Saccharomyces cerevisiae S288C: one gene and its partners. Changing the gene in region 2 together with the main gene of any one other region gives a genetic interaction. Each region holds a gene or a part of one and is shown on either strand. Other genes may lie near its edges.

What was found.
Region 1: mutations in TRM7 (region 2) and SRT1 together harm fitness more than expected from each alone (negative genetic interaction), as found in Saccharomyces cerevisiae (one large-scale study listed by BioGRID).
Region 3: mutations in TRM7 (region 2) and SPG5 together harm fitness more than expected from each alone (negative genetic interaction), as found in Saccharomyces cerevisiae (one large-scale study listed by BioGRID).
Region 4: mutations in TRM7 (region 2) and YDR262W together harm fitness more than expected from each alone (negative genetic interaction), as found in Saccharomyces cerevisiae (one large-scale study listed by BioGRID).

The regions. Positions count from the first base shown.
Region 1 is NC_001145.3:467,945-471,007, reverse strand, and holds SRT1 (ditrans,polycis-polyprenyl diphosphate synthase), read left to right. Parts: upstream 1-1,531; coding exon 1,532-2,563; downstream 2,564-3,063. Other genes in the region: LAF1 (Laf1p), read left to right, coding at 1-1,160; MYND-type zinc finger protein MUB1, read right to left, coding at 2,846-3,063. UniProt on the Saccharomyces cerevisiae protein: With NUS1, forms the dehydrodolichyl diphosphate synthase (DDS) complex, an essential component of the dolichol monophosphate (Dol-P) biosynthetic machinery.
Region 2 is NC_001134.8:364,287-367,394, reverse strand, and holds TRM7 (tRNA methyltransferase TRM7), read left to right. Parts: upstream 1-1,675; coding exon 1,676-2,608; downstream 2,609-3,108. Other genes in the region: CNM1 (Cnm1p), read left to right, coding at 1-425; YBR062C (uncharacterized protein), read left to right, coding at 795-810, 893-1,419.
Region 3 is NC_001145.3:643,812-647,277, forward strand, and holds SPG5 (Spg5p), read left to right. Parts: upstream 1-1,844; coding exon 1,845-2,966; downstream 2,967-3,466. Other genes in the region: ATP-dependent DNA helicase SGS1, read right to left, coding at 1-1,447; GYL1 (Gyl1p), read left to right, coding at 3,307-3,466. UniProt on the Saccharomyces cerevisiae protein: Required for survival at high temperature during stationary phase.
Region 4 is NC_001136.10:991,490-994,452, reverse strand, and holds YDR262W (uncharacterized protein), read right to left. Parts: upstream 1,320-2,963; coding exon 501-1,319; downstream 1-500. Other genes in the region: exodeoxyribonuclease DIN7, read left to right, coding at 1-211; YDR261C-C (gag protein), read left to right, coding at 2,104-2,963.

The DNA of each region.
Region 1 (3,063 bases), on a different chromosome or scaffold from region 2:
ATGATTCGAGGATAAGAATTTTTGACTTAGAACAGAGGAAGCTTCTAGAGGTATTGAAAGGCTTCCATAGCGGATCTTCCCAACACAAGGCACAATTGTCCATCTGGCATGGTCAGCCAATCGTTGTAAATAGTAGTGATGACCATTGGGTTTACGGCTGGAGGTTAAAGTCTTCGGATAGAGAGAATGATCAAGACGAACCTAAAAGGAAACCAAAGGGATTGGCTCGGTCCGGAAGTTTGAGAAGCATATTTAGTAAATCAATGAGTAGGTCTTCCAGCCAGAATAACGAAGAAAAACCACATCATCATTTAAAACTTACTAACTTACTTCCCTTGCCTCATCATAGCAACGATCATTATATCAAAAATACGGATTACATTTCTTTTCATGCACACAATGCCCCTGTTACTTGTGTTAGCATTGCACCGCCAGAAACTTCGAAAACATTATCTTTGTCTAACGATGTTATCTGCGAGCTATCTCTAGAGTTTTTTCAGACATCCGATAGTTTCGATGTTTTGAGTCGGAGTAACGACGATGGCATAATGTCAGATGTAGAGTCGTCTTTGGGCTACAATTCTAAACCAGGCTCAATTTCTAATGCTTCCGCCACCAGTGCTATCCCAGATGTCGTTGACGCAATTGGAACGATATTGATCAGTACTGATAACGTAGGGACTATTCGTGTGTTTAGAGCAGATATGCCCTCTGTTATAAGAAAGCGCGTGTTACTCAAACTAGAAGAATACAATAGAGAGGTTCGGAGAAGGTTTAACAGTTCTGATTCTTTGCATTCTTTGAGTCGAAGCTTCAACTCGAGAGCGAAATCAAACTTGGCTGGCCAACCGGCAGCGGCGTATACTAATACTGGAAAAGGCTATGCAACGGGACGTGGATACTCTAATATATGTCCCAAAAGCAGTACATCACTAAAAACACTCGGCAGTAATGCACAGCCAAGAACACCAAGGGAAAGCATGTCATCTATTTTCTCCAATGCACATGGGCCTACCACTCCAACGAGCGCAATGAATTTACCTATCCGTTGCAATGTTTGTAACGGTTCAAGGTTTGAGGCTTTTTCTGGTGCTAATGACCAACAAGATAGAAACTATTATTGCGTAGACTGCGGTACAGTAGTTAATAACTTCCGCTAACGCTGATGGAGTATTTTTTTTCCGTGGATGATACCTTTAAATGCATATTAATCTTCGTACATAAAGTAAAGAAACACGATACACTTAAATAAATTTTAATCTAATAATTAATGAACGCTAACAATGAGCCTATCATTTGTTGCCGATATACTATAACGTATCTCTTCGAAAGAACAAAACGGAGTGAGTGCCTGTTAAGGGTAACTACTCCAAACTGAGTGGACCTCGGCGGCTAAAGCTATACTTTTTCTGTTATTTAAGGGACCTAAAAATACACACAGAGTAGATTAAGATTTGGTGCACTTTTCTCAATTTATCAACTTATAAAGAACAGGCTGCCTTTCAAACATAGGACGTTTCTGTTGACCATAATGAAAATGCCCAGTATTATTCAGATTCAGTTTGTAGCCCTAAAAAGGCTTTTGGTAGAAACCAAAGAACAGATGTGCTTCGCAGTGAAAAGTATATTTCAGAGAGTATTTGCGTGGGTTATGTCATTAAGCTTGTTTTCATGGTTTTATGTAAATCTTCAGAATATTTTGATAAAAGCATTAAGGGTAGGGCCAGTGCCTGAACATGTCTCCTTTATCATGGATGGTAACCGGAGATATGCCAAGTCAAGAAGGCTACCAGTAAAAAAAGGCCATGAAGCTGGTGGGTTAACGTTACTAACACTACTGTATATCTGCAAAAGATTGGGTGTAAAATGTGTTTCCGCCTATGCATTTTCTATTGAAAATTTTAATAGACCAAAAGAAGAAGTAGATACGCTAATGAATTTGTTTACGGTAAAGCTTGATGAATTCGCAAAAAGAGCCAAGGACTATAAGGATCCCTTATACGGATCTAAAATAAGAATAGTAGGTGATCAATCTTTACTATCTCCAGAAATGAGAAAAAAAATTAAAAAAGTGGAAGAAATCACACAGGATGGAGACGATTTCACTTTATTTATATGTTTTCCTTACACTTCAAGAAATGATATGTTACATACTATTCGTGATTCAGTTGAAGACCATTTGGAAAATAAATCACCAAGGATTAATATAAGAAAATTTACTAATAAAATGTACATGGGTTTCCATTCCAATAAATGTGAATTATTAATCAGAACAAGTGGGCATAGGAGGCTCTCAGACTATATGCTATGGCAAGTACATGAAAATGCCACCATTGAATTTAGTGATACGTTGTGGCCAAATTTTAGCTTCTTTGCTATGTACCTGATGATTCTCAAATGGTCCTTCTTTTCCACCATTCAAAAATATAATGAGAAGAATCACTCATTGTTTGAAAAAATACATGAAAGCGTTCCTTCAATATTTAAAAAAAAGAAAACAGCTATGTCTTTGTACAACTTTCCAAACCCCCCCATTTCAGTTTCGGTTACAGGAGATGAATAAGTAAAAGTGCAAAACTAGAAAGCCCAAGAGAGGGCAAAGAACATTCTGAAAACTCCCTGATTCTTCCATACCTATTACCATATTACATCATTTTTAATTAGTAGTCTTTTAATTATCTATTATATCCGGTATATAAAATATCCTTGCGCCAAGTGTATAGCTAATAAAATGTAAAAAAAAAAAAAATTAGGAACAAAAAATAAAAAAAGCGAAAACAAAAAACTCCGTTAATGAATATTTCATGATCTTGTTAAACCTAGGTCATCGAAATCCCCTTGTACTTTACTCAGGTATGCTATTTTCATCCCTATTGCTTATTTCATCAGGTACGGTGGTGGATATATTAGGAGTGAACGTACTGGTAGAATTCGAAACATCAGCTGCTGTAGTAGCGGTGGCATTTAAAGAACTAGGCTCATTTGGGGTATTGACACCTGTGGTAGTATTCGTGGATCTCATATGACTTGATCCAACTTCGTGACACCAATACCTATGATATC
Region 2 (3,108 bases):
ATGGCAGACAATACGCGCCTGGAAATATTTCAATTATGAGAAGCTTCACTGCTCGAGATAATACTAAATCTGTGAGTAGAGAAATTCGTGATATCTGTAAATCGTTTTTGATTATAAAAAGCCAATTTGGTGACGAACTTTTCCTGACTATGTTCATGGAAAAACCAGTTTTCTTTGATAACAACATCCCAATTGAAATAACTGGAGCATACCGAGAAAAACGAGAGCGATTAGATGAAGTGATTCATAAGGATCTTATCCGCTATGATGAAGTTCAAAATTTGACAAGGATTCGCAATTTGCTCCGGGTTAAAAGTCAAAAGATTTGTTCCAGGAGACATAATAGTTCGGTTCCCACAAAAAAATTGTTAGTTAATGATAAAGGCGCAACTTCGATTCTACTGTGGTACTCTAACTATTCATAGATAAAGTTTATTTGATACATAATCCGGAAAATGTAAGATATGCCAACTGTTAACTAGAAAACATCTGTACTCTATATATCGGAAACAAAAACTTTACGGGTACAACCATGATGAATAAGCTCGAAATTTTTGCCTTCCATATGAGTCCCATTTTGGTGACCAACTCTCCTACCCGAATTACTGTGATGATATATACTCTTCGTTTTCTAGTAATGGCTTCATTTTGCCTAAGTTGGTCAAAATTGTTGTGGGCGGCTTTTGTTTGCACCGAGGAGCGCTCAGTTCGTTATAATACCAGTTTTGCCACTCCTAAACTACTAAAGAAATAATAGAAAGATATATTCATCAAACATAATCACAATCAAAAAAATGTCTACATATGAAGGTATGTAATGATATATTATGAAGTAAGTTCCCCAAAGCCAATTAACTAACCGAATTTTAATCTGCACTCATCATTAGATTAGAGGAACATGGAATACAACAAAACTCAAGGGATTACCAAGAAGTAGGAGGAACTTCACAGGAGGAGCAGAGAAGACAGGTCAGATCCCAACTGCAAGGTCTATTTCAAAACTTTGGTAACACCAGTGGTGAGGGTGATGCACATTCAGATTCAACACTACTTTTACGATTATTATCGCAAATGCTTCCAGAATCATTACAGGAAGAATGGTTGCAAGAAATGGATAAAGGCAAGAGTGCGGGCTGTCCTGATACTTTTGCAGCCTCTTTACCACGAATCAATAAAAAAAAGCTCAAAGCAACTGACAACTGCTCCATTTGTTACACTAATTATTTAGAAGATGAGTACCCCTTAGTAGTTGAATTACCTCATTGCCATCATAAGTTCGACTTAGAGTGTTTGTCTGTCTGGCTATCTCGAAGTACAACATGTCCATTATGCAGAGATAATGTTATGGGCCACCGAATCATTAATGAGATTGATACAACTGAAGCAGAACTGGAAGAAGATTGGGGTATGTACGGTTAATATCTTTCTTTTATATTATATAAAGACACCAAACCTAAGTAGAATAGGTAACTACGTCTTCTTTCACAGAAGACAGACCTACAAGTATTTTGATTATCATGATGAAGTAAAAGCAACGATAAACTTTTTACTAGGTATTATTATTCTGCGCTAACAATAATTATCGCGAGTTGAAAATTTTCAAGCGATGCTCCTAACATTACTGTAAAACAACAGTAGATGAGTACAAGGCAAGCTTAAAAAGAAAGTATTCAAGATGGGTAAGAGCAGCAAAGATAAAAGAGATTTGTACTATAGAAAAGCAAAAGAGCAGGGCTATAGGGCTAGATCTGCTTTCAAACTACTTCAACTCAATGACCAATTTCATTTCCTGGATGATCCAAACTTAAAAAGAGTTGTAGATTTGTGTGCAGCACCAGGTTCATGGTCACAAGTGCTCTCGAGAAAACTGTTTGATGAAAGTCCCAGTTCAGATAAGGAGGACAGGAAAATTGTCTCTGTCGATTTACAACCGATGTCCCCCATACCTCATGTGACAACGTTGCAAGCCGATATCACTCATCCTAAAACATTGGCGAGGATTCTAAAACTGTTTGGCAACGAAAAGGCCGATTTTGTTTGTAGTGATGGTGCACCTGATGTTACTGGGTTACACGATCTTGACGAATACGTGCAACAACAGTTAATTATGAGTGCGCTGCAACTTACTGCATGCATTCTGAAAAAAGGTGGAACTTTTGTGGCAAAGATCTTCAGAGGTCGTGATATAGATATGCTATATTCCCAATTGGGCTATCTATTCGATAAAATCGTTTGCGCAAAGCCAAGATCATCAAGAGGTACATCTCTGGAAGCTTTTATTGTTTGTTTAGGCTATAACCCACCATCCAATTGGACACCAAAATTAGATGTAAATACATCCGTTGATGAATTTTTTCAAGGCTGTTTTTTGAATAAATTGTGTATATCAGACAAATTGTCTCATTGGAATGAAGAGGAGAGAAACATAGCCGAATTTATGGCTTGTGGAAGTCTTCAAAGTTTCGACTCAGATGCCACTTATCATGACCTACCTTCTTCGGTTGCAGGCACTTCATCGTCCTTAGATCCTGTTCAAAGCCCGACGAACCCTCCCTACAAGAAAGCTTTGGAATTAAAAAGGAGCGGGAAACTCACTAGATCAGTTTGATTGCAATATTACTACCTCTAATCAAACAATTAAATAAGTCACTACATTATAAGATTATCTACAAAATCAACTTTTCCTTGCAATCATTAAAAACGATATAGGTTACGGTTATGTAGAATATCCATTGTATAATATAAAAGAAAATGAAACAGTAATTATATTATATTATATTACATGCAAGCATTGAGGAGTATGGCAATCATTTTTCTTCTTTTTTACTTCACCTCGTCTCTTAAAACATCTGCTTTCGAATTTGCGAGTAATAGAACTTTCGAATTGTGACAGAACCATTGAGAACATGGTGAATCTGTCAATATTACAACCCAAAAGCCGGTTGGTGGTAAACCGTAGTACGGAGCATTACAAAGGATTCCATCGTATAAATTATGCATAAGCATCACCTTGATCCATTTGCCTTGCTCCTATTGCCCTGCTTGTTTGTAGGAAAGCCCCTTTTGGTCAAACGAATTGTTCAGTTCGGGTTTACGCATTACATATCT
Region 3 (3,466 bases), on a different chromosome or scaffold from region 2:
GCGACAAGGTAATTGTGGACCTAGTGTCACCTTCTTGAGAACTTTCCTGAATATTTGCACTAACATCCATATTATCATGATAATCTGTGTCTTGAGTTGGGTCTAGGTCGTCGTTTACCACAAAATCAAAATCGCTTTGATTTAGTAATTCGTTTTCTTCTTTTTCTTCATCTCTAGTAGTCATGTAGCTGGAATGGGCATCATCTTCTGCCTCCATTGTTAACTCATCTTCTTCTCTTTCGACATCCGGATAATCGTCCCTCAAAGATTTACCCATAACATAGTCAAAAGGATCATCCCTATCAGGTATTCTGTAGTTGACTGGTTCTCTTGAACGCATATTTCTCCTTCTTGTAAGTTCATCTTGTTCTTCTGACGTCATGTGGAGATGCGGGAATGCGGGAGAATGTGGAGCCCCCTCCTTCAATATTACAGGAGGGTCACAGTCTATATCATCCTCATCATCCAGGACTTGAATCAAATCATCGTTATTACTATCATTATTGCTATTCTTACCGGTGTTATTAGTAATATTTTGCTTCGCACCAGTGATGGCTAATGCCTTAGTGACGGTAGTCGCAGTAGTACTTGTCAGGTTTGAATTCCTGGAAGATGTATTGTATTCCAAGGGGCTGGGCAGAATGCTTGATATGATATTATCATCTTGTGAAGAAACTTGACTGCGACCTTTACTTTGATCTTTTGACATTCCATCTTTTTTGGCTTTTATGATCTCCTTTTCCAGACTATCTATTCGTATCGACATATTTGATAACTGAGGCCGTATATCCCTACTTAACTGTAGCCTTTTAGCGTCCTCTGACAATGATGTGGATTCGATAATACTACACTTCTGTAGCAATAATTTCGATTGCTCTTTCAATGCCATAATTAGGGAGCCTTGAAGGCGGATCACCTCTAATTTTATATCATTTTCGAGCTGTTTGCCTATACTTGAATTATCGATTACGCTTTTATTGTTATTTCTACTACCTAGATTTCTGCTACTGTCATTTTCGACAAGAGAACTAGCCATGTGCGGTCGAAAAGTATTGAAATTGTGAGTTTTCGAGCCATTGGGCGTCCTCGGGTTCGATACAACACTTGTGCTGGCTGGTATATCAACCATGGGTACGTCAGCATATTGATTCGATGTGGCAGTGTACGAGAGCCATTCTGTATCGTTCGACAAAGTTTGCATGACTTCATGTTGTTTCGTAGCAGTATTCGTTGGTCCAGATGCAGGAATGCTGGTTATAAAGTTTGTTGTTCCTGGTCCACATTCATCTTTGGATGGCGTTGTTGGTGGCGAATTTGTCTTAGGCCTTTTGTTCGCGATGTGCTTTTGGATAGCCTGGAATACGAAATCTTTGTCTTCCTGTAAAGTCGCCGTTTCCTTTAACCATTTGTGCTCCCTTCTTAAGTTATGTGACGGCTTCGTCACCATTACCGCCTTGTGTGTACGTGTATGATTTTTTAAATATATACAACAATAATCTGTATTTTTTCCTTTCCTCTAGCCAATGACTCCAAGCTGGCTGATAAAAACAAACTAAACGGTAAAGCCACAAATCCGAAATGTATCACCAATGATCACCCAGCCTGCTAAGTGCCCTCTATTGATCCGTATATCAGCTTTTAGATCAGGCTCGAGTTTCTTGTTATATGTGCATTGCAAAAGCATAAACAAATCCTGGCAGCCGAAGCCGGGCAATCCACTTCGAAACGCACGGCTGAACTATATAAATATAAAGGACATGTGGAGAGAAGCTTCTCTTCCTTCACATTTCGCATTTCATGATCTAAAGTGGTTCTTTCACAATAGAAGAGCACCAACACGAAATATGGCTGTCGGTGGTAATAACTGGAGCATGTGGCTGCGAATGTCACGGGTCCACCTCAGGCAGATCACGAAGTCTCTGGACCGAACGCTGATCAGTTTGAGCCATGGGAATTTTTCCCACCAATATAATCGCAATATTTTTGTCACTTGGTGGAAGAGCCTATTTGAGGCTTCTACAGCTTTTAGGAGGGCAAGTGGTTTAACGGTATCTCCTCTCACGAGGAGAGGAATCGCAAGGTTTGACCATTTCAGACCTGTTCCCAATGTCAGTAAATTTGCTTCTTTTCCCAGAGTGCCCAAAGGAGCCCCAAGGGGCCTTTTTACCAACTGGAATATGACTACATCAAAGAGATTATTAGGGCAGAGAGCTTATTCGACTTCCAGTATCAAATTTACCCAAGAAGCCGTGAATAACATGACTATATCTTTGAGGTGTTTTTTCAACTCACTAGGCGGATTAAATCAGTGCTCCCACTCTAATTCCTGCAAAGCTTATCAGAATGCGTCTAATGTTACCTCTAAACAGGATCACGTCCAACCAGTTGCCCTTAAGAAGTTATCTCAAAAGGATATCAATTTCATTCGTAATTTAGAACTATTTAAGATAATGAAGACCCAGAATGAAGTCGTTGATGAAACAAGCGCATATTACATGGAAAAACCAGGTTCCTATATTGAATTTACCATTTCAGAATTTAACGTTAATGGGACATTCTCCGCACCTTTGTCATTTTTAGATCCTTCTTTGTTAGCGGATTTGGATGAAATGATTAGAAATTACAAATACGAATTAAAATCAATATACAGTAGTGTTGACATGATCTTGCAGAATTATGGATCATTGCCGATAACTTTTCATCGAAATAAGATTCGAATACATTTTCCAAACTCAACTGTGGTGGAAACAGAAAAACTAATTGCAGGTCTGAATATTGCTACGGGTGTTATTTACGCAGATACGTCTCCCGATATCAGTCTAGAAGGTACAAATTTGAATGCTCTGGTTAATGTTGACAATTCAGGAAGCGTATGGTCTTTTGTTAAGGAGCCCTCGTTTCCCTCTAGGAGCGCTTTTTCACCTATTTTATCAGATGCATCCTATGATACTTATGAATTGGTCTAGCAAAGACGTTGTTTCATCGCGCTATTACCAAGAAGGTTACTTTACTTGTTCTTGCACATGGACGCACGTTGTGTGTTCATATATATATATATATATATATATATATATTTGTGCTTGTTTTCATTGTCTCTATAGTTAATACATTCTATTTTTATCGTTATATTTGCATTCTCTTCGCATAAAAACTTCATGAAAATTCGGCAGAAAATAAGCCATATATGTACTTTATCCATAGGCAAAGAAAAGCACTTAACGAGAATATACAACAATTGCACTAGTACTGCATGTATATACTCTTATGATTATAGCGGCAAGAAAACAAATATAAACACACTAACAGATGAATTCGAATGAAGATATACATGAAGAACGCATTGAAGTTCCACGAACTCCCCATCAAACCCAGCCAGAGAAAGACTCTGATCGCATCGCTCTCAGGGATGAAATATCAGTACCAGAAGGCGATGAAAAAGCATATTCGGATGAGAAAGTAGAAATGG
Region 4 (2,963 bases), on a different chromosome or scaffold from region 2:
TAGAGAAAGAAAATTAAAAGCAAGAAAGCTGTTTAAAGTAGGTCTACTTGGGGGTGAATCCAACTCATTCAATAAGAAAGTGGAGCAACCGCTAGTGGATACGCAGGACGTGTTATCGGAGAGGGAGAATTCTCTTGATAACAAAAACGCATCCTCTATTTATATGACCTCACCAGCAGCGATCTCAGGCACCGTACCATCAATTTTCTAAGTGGTGTATATATATGTTCGAAGGTATTGTTGTAATATTTTCATAGTTGTATTCTTATTCCACCGGCCCCAGCTAAGCATTAATATAAGGATTCGTAAAACAAAATTATCGTTCACATACTAGAGAAAATATAACTATAAAACAAATTGATACCAATGTATATATTATGTTGTAAACTCCATAAAGATAGGCCGATCCTACTCGCCATTATTAATAAATTATAACCAAAAAAAATAAAGAACGCAATTTGTATGGGGTCAAGGAAGTCAAAACCATAAGCAACACATAACTAAGGACCCACCAGGGTGAAATCAACCATCAAAATAACACCATTGCTTCCATTTTCAATGCTCTCGACGGCATGAAATTTCTCGTCTCTGGAGGAAGCTACATAATATACTTCTCCTTCTTTTTTGAGTAAAATATCACCACCAGTTTCCGAATCGCTTTTCTTGCTTTCTGTGAAGTCAATACTCTGCAGGAGCGTACATCCTGGACTCACCTTCTTGTAGGAATTTTTATCATCATTGTACACTACAATATGAGATCTCACAAATTTGGAGATATTCTCTTGTATTGCCGTATCAAGTTCCTTCTCGGTGGCACCATCACTTTCAAGCTTATCAATATTATTCGGAAATTGCCACGGTTTTAAAGTAAGCTGAGAGACAGCCCTGTTCGTTGGTGCAATAATAATCAAATCTTCGTTGGGGTCACTTACTTTGTTATATGTTTCAACATCATTTCGCACATAGCTTGCAAATATTTGGACCTCGTTCACTAATGACAACTTTGATTCTAAGGATAAAGGAGACAATTCAGCCAAAAACTCTTGCTGCTTTCTTTGCTGTGTCCCTAAAATATCATCTAAATTCACTGCGGGTCTTGAAAAGTCACGCATTCCCTTATATCCTAATGGATAAGAATTTACTTGAGAATTATGTAGCCGGGGCGGTATTTCCTCTGGTGCTAACCGCTTGTGCAGCTTGCCATTTGAATCTTTGAAAGTAATTAAGTTGACGACGTTCTTACCTCTTACGAAACTAGGCTCCATTGCCCATATCAAAGAAAAATAAAGCAGCACACTAACAGGTAGATTGAATATCATGGTCGTTTTGTAAGTTTTTATATTATAAGGAGAAGTTATGAAGCAAAAGGGGATGACCGTCTAGTTGTTCTTGAAGATTAGTTAGCCCGATGACCGGATTTATTAACAAAAAAAACTGCTTAATCATTATTAACGGTGATATAAAATATTGACTGAACGAATGCTGAGTAGGCGAGGCAGGCACCTAGTCTCTAAACCCTTCATATTGATCGCTAATAGTTGCTAAAAAAGTGCGCAAGCCCGGAATCGAACCGGGGGCCCAACGATGGCAACGTTGGATTTTACCACTAAACCACTTGCGCTCACAATTGTTGGATTTGTTTTATCATCGACATACCATACCTCAATATGACAATAAATCATGCTAAATGTTCATAAATCACATATGAAACAATTCTTGCACTTCAGCTTCCTCTAACTTCGATGATAGCTTCTCATAACTTATGTCATCATCTTAACACCGTATATGATAATATATTGATAATATAACTTGTTGGAATAAAAATCAACTATCATCTACTAACTAGTATTTACGTTACTAGTATATTATCATATACGGTGTTAGAAGATGACGCAAATGATGAGAAATAGTCATCTAAATTAGTGGAAGCTGAAACGCAAGGATTGATAATGTAATAGGATCAATGAATATTAACATATAAAACGATGATAATAATATTTATAGAATTGTGTAGAATTGCAGATTCCCTTTTATGGATTCCTAAATCCTTGAGGAGAACTTCTAGTATATTCTGTATACCTAATATTATAGCCTTTATCAACAATGGAATCCCAACAATTATCTCAACATTCACCCATTTCTCATGGTAGCGCCTGTGCTTCGGTTACTTCTAAGGAAGTCCACACAAATCAAGATCCGTTAGACGTTTCAGCTTCCAAAACAGAAGAATGTGAGAAGGCTTCCACTAAGGCTAACTCTCAACAGACAACAACACCTGCTTCATCAGCTGTTCCAGAGAACCCCCATCATGCCTCTCCTCAACCTGCTTCAGTACCACCTCCACAGAATGGGCCGTACCCACAGCAGTGCATGATGACCCAAAACCAAGCCAATCCATCTGGTTGGTCATTTTACGGACACCCATCTATGATTCCGTATACACCTTATCAAATGTCGCCTATGTACTTTCCACCTGGGCCACAATCACAGTTTCCGCAGTATCCATCATCAGTTGGAACGCCTCTGAGCACTCCATCACCTGAGTCAGGTAATACATTTACTGATTCATCCTCAGCGGACTCTGATATGACATCCACTAAAAAATATGTCAGACCACCACCAATGTTAACCTCACCTAATGACTTTCCAAATTGGGTTAAAACATACATCAAATTTTTACAAAACTCGAATCTCGGTGGTATTATTCCGACAGTAAACGGAAAACCCGTACGTCAGATCACTGATGATGAACTCACCTTCTTGTATAACACTTTTCAAATATTTGCTCCCTCTCAATTCCTACCTACCTGGGTCAAAGACATCCTATCCGTTGATTATACGGATATCATGAAAATTCTTTCCAAAAGTATTGAAAAAATGCAATCTGATACCCAAGAGGCAAACGACATTGTGACCCTGGCAAATTTGCAATATAATGGCAGTACACCTGCAGATGCATTTGA